2 linked regions of the Oryctolagus cuniculus genome follow. The protein of the gene in region 2 binds, or shares a complex with, the protein of the main gene of each other region. Links are inferred from orthologs where the notes say so. Each region holds a gene or a part of one and is shown on either strand. Other genes may lie near its edges.

Region 1 (4,127 bases), on a different chromosome or scaffold from region 2:
AAACTCTGACTTATTAATCTCATGGTTTAGTAAATAGCACCCATTTTACAGTCATACTTTTAATGACTACGAGTACCCACCATGCTATCATCCTTTCCAGCACCCATTTCTTTCTTTCTTTTAGAAGTTTATTTTTGTATAGAAATCCCTCTATTGGCTTCTTTTTTTTTTTTTTTTAAGATTTATTTATTTATTTTAAAGTCAGAGTTACACAGAGAGGAAAGGCAGACAGAGCAAGGTCTTCCATCCAATGATTCACTCCCCAATTGACCGCAACCGCTGCAACGACTGGAGCTGCACCAAACAGAAGCCAGGAGCCAAGAGCTTCTTCCGGGTCACCCACGTGGGTGCAGCTACCCAAGGACTTGGGCCATCTTCTACTGCTTTCCCAGGCCTTAGCGGAGCGCTGGATCAGAAGAGGAGCAGCCGGGTCTTGAACCGGAGCCCATACGGGATGCCGGCGCTTTAGGCCAGGGCGTTAACCCACTGCGCCGCGGCGCTGGTCTCTCTTTCCTTTTAATATTTATTTATTTGAAAGGAAGAGTTTGGAAGCCGGGAGTCAGGAGTTTCTTCCAGGGCTCTCAGTGGGGGTGCTGGGGCCCAGGCACTTGGGCCATTTTCCGCTGCTTTTCCTGGCGCATTAGCAGGGAGCCAGACAGGAAGTGGAGCAGCAGGGACTGGAACCAGAGTCCGTTTGGGATGCCGGCGCTGCAGGCGGCGGCTTTACCCGCTATGTCACAGCACCGACCCCATCAGCACCCATTTCTTTTTTTTATTATTATTATTTTTATTTTTTTTACTTTTTGACAGGCAGAGTGGACAGTGAGAGACAGAGAAAGGTCTTCCTTTGCCATTGGTTCACCCTCCAATGGCCGCCGCGGCCGGCGCACCGCGCTGATCCGATGGCAGGAGCCAGGTGCTTCTCCTGGTCTCCCATGGGGTGCAGGGCCCAAGCACTTGGGCCATCCTCCACTGCACTCCCGGGCCACAGCAGAGAGCTGGCCTGGAAGAGGGGCAACCGGGACAGAATCCGGCGCCCCAACCGGGACTAGAACCCGGTGTGCCGGCGCCGCTAGGCGGAGGATTAGCCTAATGAGCCGCGGCGCCAGCACCCATTTCTATTCCAGAAGAATAATCCCTGGCTTCTGAATACCCGACTTGAGGTAATACATACAGTCCTGGACGTCAGTGGCGAGAGGCTGCGTTACTAAAAGCGTTGCTTAGCACCCGTAATTTCCGGGGACGAGCCAAGGCGAAAACCCGTAACCAAGGCAACAGACCGTGAGCCTATCAAAAATGGGCGCCAGCTCCGCGGCGGGGGTCGTCCCAGGAAGTGGCGTCACGCGCAGTTTCCGGTTCCGCCTGGAGCGACGCTCGCGGCTGTCTCCGGTTACCGCGAGGTGCACGTGTGTTTTCTTGGCTTGGCCGCGGTAGCAATGGACCCTTTGGATCGGATAGTGTACGTGCGCTGAGTCCTCGTCCCGGGGAAGTCGAGGACAGGGGCTCTGGTGACGGGCGTGGTACCCTTCTGCTTCCTTCTCTTCCTGGCTGTCGCTCCTGCCCGACGCCGCTTCCCAGTCGTTCCTGGTGGCGGCAGATCACCCTCTCCCGTGCCACCTGTCGGAGACGTAGCAGGGAAGCCCACCAGGGGACCCGCGGGATGGGCGCTGGGACTCAGGCGTTGGCCGCTTTTGTGCTAGCATTTAAAAATCCGCTGGCTTCCCGAGCGGTTAAAAGCACAGACCTCGGAGCCTGACAGATCTGGGCGACGCTGCGGGTGTATCCAGAGTTTGAGCACTTGGGTGTTAACGTAAATCTTGTAAAGTTCAGTTTATTCTGTAAAAAGAGCTTTCATGACAGTCCATCGTAGAGCTGTGAGGGTGGGTTGTGGAACACATATTTAGCAGTATTAAATACGTGTATTTATTACTAGCTCCCTAAAAAGTGAGTTTTGTTTAGTGCTGGAAACCTAACCCGACAATATATTAGGATAATGTCTGTTGAGTTTTAAGAATTTGCACATTAGTCAAGCCATGCTTTTGCAGTGTGAAGAAAATGTTTAAACTGTTGTGCATTATTTTCTGAACAGAAAGCCCAAAACAAAACGGGCCAAGAGATTCCTTGAGAAGAGAGAACCGAAGCTGAATGAAAATATTAAAAATGCCATGCTGATTAAAGGGGGCAACGCAAATGCAACAGTAACACAAGTGCTTAGAGATGTGGTATGTATGTGTACTTATTGTTTACTTATATTCTTTTTTAATTTTTGTGTTTATTTGAGAGGCAGAGTGAGAGAGAGAGGTGGAGCTAGCGCCCTGTCTTACTTCTTAAATGCCTGTGTGATCAGGCTGAAGCCAGGGGCTGGAAACTCAGTCCTGGTGTCCCATGTAGGTGGCAGGAACCCTGTGCCTGAACCATCGCCGTGTCTTCCCGGGTCTGCAGTAGCTGAGAGCTGGGGTCAGGAGCTGGGGCTTGGTGTTGACCCAGGTACTCTGGTGTGGGAAACGGATATCTCAGCCGTATCTTCACTGTTAGACTGAACGTGCACCCTATGCTTACATTTAAGTGGTATTGAATTGTCTTAGAAACTTTCAGGAAATTAGATTGCTGCTGGAGGAGAATGTTGGTACATGTTTCCTTCCTGAACCTACTGGCCTTAGAGAAGAGCTGAAGTTGGAGATTATTTGCCCTCCCCAAGGCCCTGACTACTGGTTTGCCTTAAAGCAGCTGGTTCCCTTAGTAAACTTAAACTGGTTTTCAGTTCTGGAATTTGGTTTACCCACATTTTAGGAAGATATCTATTTTATATAAAGTGAAATAATCGCATGTTATTGTATAATTTATATGTTCTACAATACCAGTTACTGTACTAGGTGCTGGGAATTATAAATTAGGTAAGACACAGTCTGGGACCAATGCTCTGGTATAAAAGCCGCTGCCTGCAGTGCTGGCATCCCATATGGGCGCTGGTTCAAGTCCCAGCTGCTCCAGTTCTGATCCAGCTCTCTGCTATGGCCTGGGAAAGCAGTAGAATACCCCACCCCCCATGGGAGACCCAGAAGAAGCTCCTGACTTCAGATCAGTGCAACTCTGGCCATTGCAGCCAATTGAAGTGTGAACCAGTGGATGGTAGACCCCTCCCTCCCTCCCTCCCTCCTTCTCTCTCTCTCTCTCTCTCTCTCTCTCTCTCTCCTCCTTCTCTCTCTGTGTAACTCTGACTTTCAAATAAATGAATAAATTAAAAAAAAAAAAGACACAGTCCCTCTCTTTAGTGAGCTTAGTTAGACAGGGGCAGGATTGTGGTGTTGTGGAATTGTCATGGTTGGTGGGCAGTAACTGAGCCAAGGAACTGTAGAATCTGCTGCTTACCAAAAGGGGGAGGCAGAGAAAGAGAGAGAGAGAATGGAGAGACAGAGATCTTCCATCTGCTGGTTCATTCCCCAAATGGCTGCAACGGCCAGGACTGGGCCAGGCCAAAGCTAGGAGCCAGGAGCTCCATCTGTGTCTTCCTTATGGGTGACAGGGACTCAAGTACTTGGGCCATCTTCCACTGCTTCATCAGGCGTATTAGCAGGGAGCTGGATCAGAAGCGAAGCAGCCAGTATTCGGACTGATGCTCTAATATGGGATACCATAGTCATAGGCAGTGGCTTAACTTGCTGCGCCACAGTGCTGGCCCCAATAAGGCAGTTTTTAATGTGGAAAAAAAAAATTGGACATGTTGTAAATTAAGTGCTGTGCTGGAGGCATGCATATGGTAGAATCGGACAGTTAAAGGCGCACTGCAGGGGTCCCACACACAAGGCGGGCCTCCCAGCCATCACACTTAACCTTCATTTGGAAGGAGTTGGAGCAAGAAGTGGAAGTGGATGAGAGGGGCTTTTAAACTGAGGAAGGAGCTTGTGCCAGGGCAGGTGTGAGGGGCGTAAGCATGTGGAGGACAGCTCTCCGGACTGGCCGAAGGGAAGCTGGCCTGTTGAAGCTAAAGGAGGAGGCAGCAGTCCCACAGTAACAGAAAAACTGTGGAGTGACCGAAAGATTGGAGTTGAGCCATCTGAGCAGTTCTTTTAATTGCCTTGATTAGAGACGACTGAGAGCAAAGTAAGAAATGGAAGCTGTTGCAGTCA
Region 2 (3,511 bases):
GACGTTAGCCAATGTTTGGAGACATTTTTGGTTGTTACAGGAGGTAAGAACTGTGGCTTGCATGCCGTGGGTTCAGGCCAGGGACACTGCTGACTATCCTGCTATGCACAGGACACCCCCACAACCAAGAATTGTGCAGGCCCCAGTGTCGGTAGTCCCTAGAGTGAGAAGCCGCGCTGCGGAGGGTCCCGGGGACTGTCCTAGAAGGGCAGTACTGCAGCGCTGCTGGGAGCACTGACTCGGAGCCAGGATGCCTGCCCTTGAAGCCCAGCTGTGTGCATTCTCGCTGCACCCTTCAGCAACCAGGGTGCCCCCTGTGCCTGCCTTCCCTCAGGGATGAGAGTTTATCTCAGGTTTGCTGTGGGGATTACTGACTTACTATGTGTAACACACTTACAATTGTGCCTGACAAGGCACTGTGTAAATTTTAGCTCTTACACTTTATCTTTCTTTGCCTTCTTTGTCTTTTATCTCATTAGGTCAAATGTTTTGTCCAAAATGTTTTGTATTGATTTTGTACTTTCATGTAAAATGTGAATTGCTTTATCTCGAATTTTCACGGTGACTCGGGGAAACCTTCTCTGTATTTCTTGCCAGAAGGCAAGCAGGGTTGTGGGAATTGTTCAGCTTCTGAAAACTTGATGGGCTTGTTAACCACTATAATTGCTGATGTTTAGTTTTTTTGACTCTTCAGTATCATTAGCCTTTTTGTTTAATTATTCTTTGCTAATCATGATGTTTGGTTACAGTGTAGTGCTGGACTGGATTCAAATGAAATGTCGCCACAGGAGAAAAAAGATCAGAACAGAAATTCTGTTGAGAACATAGCCAATGAGGCGGTGAACGTGCTGTGGAATATATGGTAAGATGCTTGCCAAGCACAGCTCCTGCTACAGCGCTGCCCAGGCTGCTGCTTTCTGTTCAGCTGTGTAGCGGTCTCTGTTCTCCTGGGGAGGCCTGTCTCAGTGAGGGTGGTAGTTGGTAGGAGGTAGTATCAGGTGACCTGGGGTGAACCATCTTTGAGGCCCCTTCCTCATAGTTTCGTTCCTTTTTAAAGACAGTTCTTTCCAGTTATTGCCACTGATAAAAATATGATGGATCATACCATTAACACCTCCTGTTCCTGCTTTGTCCCCCACACCGTCCACATACCTAGGCAGCAGTTGTCTTAAACCTTGTTAAACCCCGGTGCAGTAGCAGCGTTGGTTTGGCACTGGAATGAGACAAGGACCACAGGTCTTGGCTGGTACTGATTCCCCTTCCCTGGCTGTTATCATTGGGGTGGGCAGTGGGTGCCCAAGGTGAGGTCCATTGACCCTAGTAGGAAGGAGGCCACTCTCCTTTCCTGATTGTAGCAGTGGTGAGGGGGGAGTGGCTAGAAACATGACCTGGCTTTACTTTTTTCCGTCTCATTTTATGTCCCACAGTCGTAGCACGATTCCAGCATGAGTCCTCATTTTCAGTCAGTGGTTATAGTGGCTGATGGCAGAGCGCAGGTGTCCCTAGAATACAGAATTGTGTTGGATCCTGTAAAGCTGCCTCCCGGCCAGTCTGCACGTGCCTGTGCTTGCATCGTGGGCTGGTGGACGCCTTCCACCAGCTGTGCCGGAGAGACCCTCTGTGGAGAAGTGGGATCTGAGCAGACTGCTGGGTGCTGTGCACCACATACCTTAATTGGGTCCATTGGCAAATTTTGGAAATTAAAAAAAAATTATTTGGAAACAGTCCTAACCTAATATATTTCCAAGATTTCTCTTTCCTGAATGCCTATGAGTCTTACATTTTTGTTTCATACTTGATAATTCAAACTACCTTCACATATGTATGTCTGGGCTGTTTCAGTGCCGCATTAACAGATTGCAGAAAGTGTTTTTCTTCAGGTAACAAACTGAATAATTGGGTCAGATCTGTTAGCTGTTAGTGCCCATGTGTGTATGCAGTATGGATGGAGAGACACCTTTCTCTAGAAACATGATGCAGTTACCATAGTTACGGTGTGTGCTAGTTAATAACTGACAGCTTGCTTAGTCTTATTAAAAGAAAGTGTGATTTCAAAAAGAATTATTGTAGTGATCTCTCTGCAAACTGTAAATCCTCCTTGATGAGATGACAGTTGCAGTCAGGGAGGAATGAATAACATGTTTTATTTCCTCTTGCACTTTGTGTGGTAAGTCTAGAGACTGTTTGTCCTAACTTTACCGTGCTGTTTCGGCACAGTGAAGAGAGCAGGAGGCTGGACCCAGGGAGCCCAGGTGCACTGGGCCTGCCTCTGCCTCTAACAGATAGTCTGATCTCCTCGTGGGCCACCTCACCCTTGGGGCCTGGGTGTTCTCATCTGTAAAATGGGGAGTTGAATTAACTGATTTCTAAGAGTTCTTCCCACTCTACCCCCTTCTACGGGGAAACGCATACGGTATAGATTGCCTTAAAGGCCCCCCATGATAGGAATAAGTTAAAGAAAGCCGGTTATCACATGTGCAGTGGCTGTGAATGGGCGTTCGTTTCTTCATCTATAGGCATGGTGGGTGTTTGACTCCAGCTCTTTGGTTCTGTAAAGCCTAATTTGTTTTTGTCATGGATTCCTGTGATTGATTTCCTAATGTTAAAATGTGACTAGTAAAACTCTTTTTCCCCCCTTCAATTTAGTGAATGCAGTAGTAGAGCAGTATCTATATTCAACAAAGAAGGGTGTTTGGAGATTGTATTAAAGTATTTAAGTAGATTTCCCACCAATGTTGACCTGGCTATCTCAGTAGGTAAGTGAAGAAAAAGTGATGATTTATTAAGTATGTGTAGTCTTATTCAAAAATTGTTATTCAGATCTAGTATGTTAATTCTACAGAAATGGTTTTTTTTTCTCATTGTATATATGAATTTAGCCAAGGAGTTCTGTTTGTTCTGAATCCTTTTCGGTCTGACTGGTACTTTTCCTCACTCAGAATTTTCCTGCTTTTTGCTCTGAATGGCAGAAAGGTAGCAATGTGAGGATATGTGGTTTCCAATCTATTACCATTCTTAGAATCTTGTGTTAATTTTTGATGTTTTCATTTTCATTTAAATATTAACACACAGCTACCAGGCCTTTGAGCCAGTTAATTGGAAGCTAATTGTACTTAAACGACTTGTACTGTTTTCTTACACTTCCATCAGAAAACTGATACCTTCAGTTTTTTGGAAGAAGAGAAGTGATTGAAATTTCACTTAGGCCTGTGTCCTCCCCATGGGAGGCATGGGAAGCAGGGACCTGCAGCTGAGCTGCCCTGGCTCCCTGGTCGTTTCTGGACGAGGGCAGGAAGCCTCTGAGACCCTTCGCTCGCCAGGCAGGAGGCAACGGTCTAGAGGGCGGGCAGCTTGGCAGAATTCTGGGCGAGAGCAGAGGAATCCGATGAAAAACATTTCTAGCCCTCGTGACGGCAGCCATCCGGCTGTCCTTTCACTTAACTGTGCGTCTCCCCGGCAAGGCAGGGACGCCTTCCTCCTACTAATGCTTCTCTTGGCTCCAGTGGAGACT

The links. The genes of interacting proteins can lie anywhere in the genome.
Region 1: HEATR3 (region 2) and RPF2 share a complex: the UniProt entries of both Homo sapiens proteins name them as parts of the hexameric 5S RNP precursor complex. The link is inferred for Oryctolagus cuniculus from reciprocal best matches to the Homo sapiens genes HEATR3 and RPF2.

Annotation. Positions count from the first base shown.
Region 1 is NC_091436.1:60,639,729-60,643,855, reverse strand, and holds the start of RPF2 (ribosome production factor 2 homolog), read left to right. Parts: upstream 1-1,323; 5' UTR 1,324-1,436; coding exon 1,437-1,459; intron 1,460-2,089; coding exon 2,090-2,222; intron 2,223-4,127. UniProt on the Homo sapiens protein: Involved in ribosomal large subunit assembly. May regulate the localization of the 5S RNP/5S ribonucleoprotein particle to the nucleolus.
Region 2 is NC_091449.1:33,667,397-33,670,907, forward strand, and holds part of HEATR3 (HEAT repeat-containing protein 3), read left to right. Parts: intron 1-749; coding exon 750-862; intron 863-2,646; coding exon 2,647-2,756; intron 2,757-3,511. UniProt on the Homo sapiens protein: Plays a role in ribosome biogenesis and in nuclear import of the 60S ribosomal protein L5/large ribosomal subunit protein uL18 (RPL5). Required for proper erythrocyte maturation.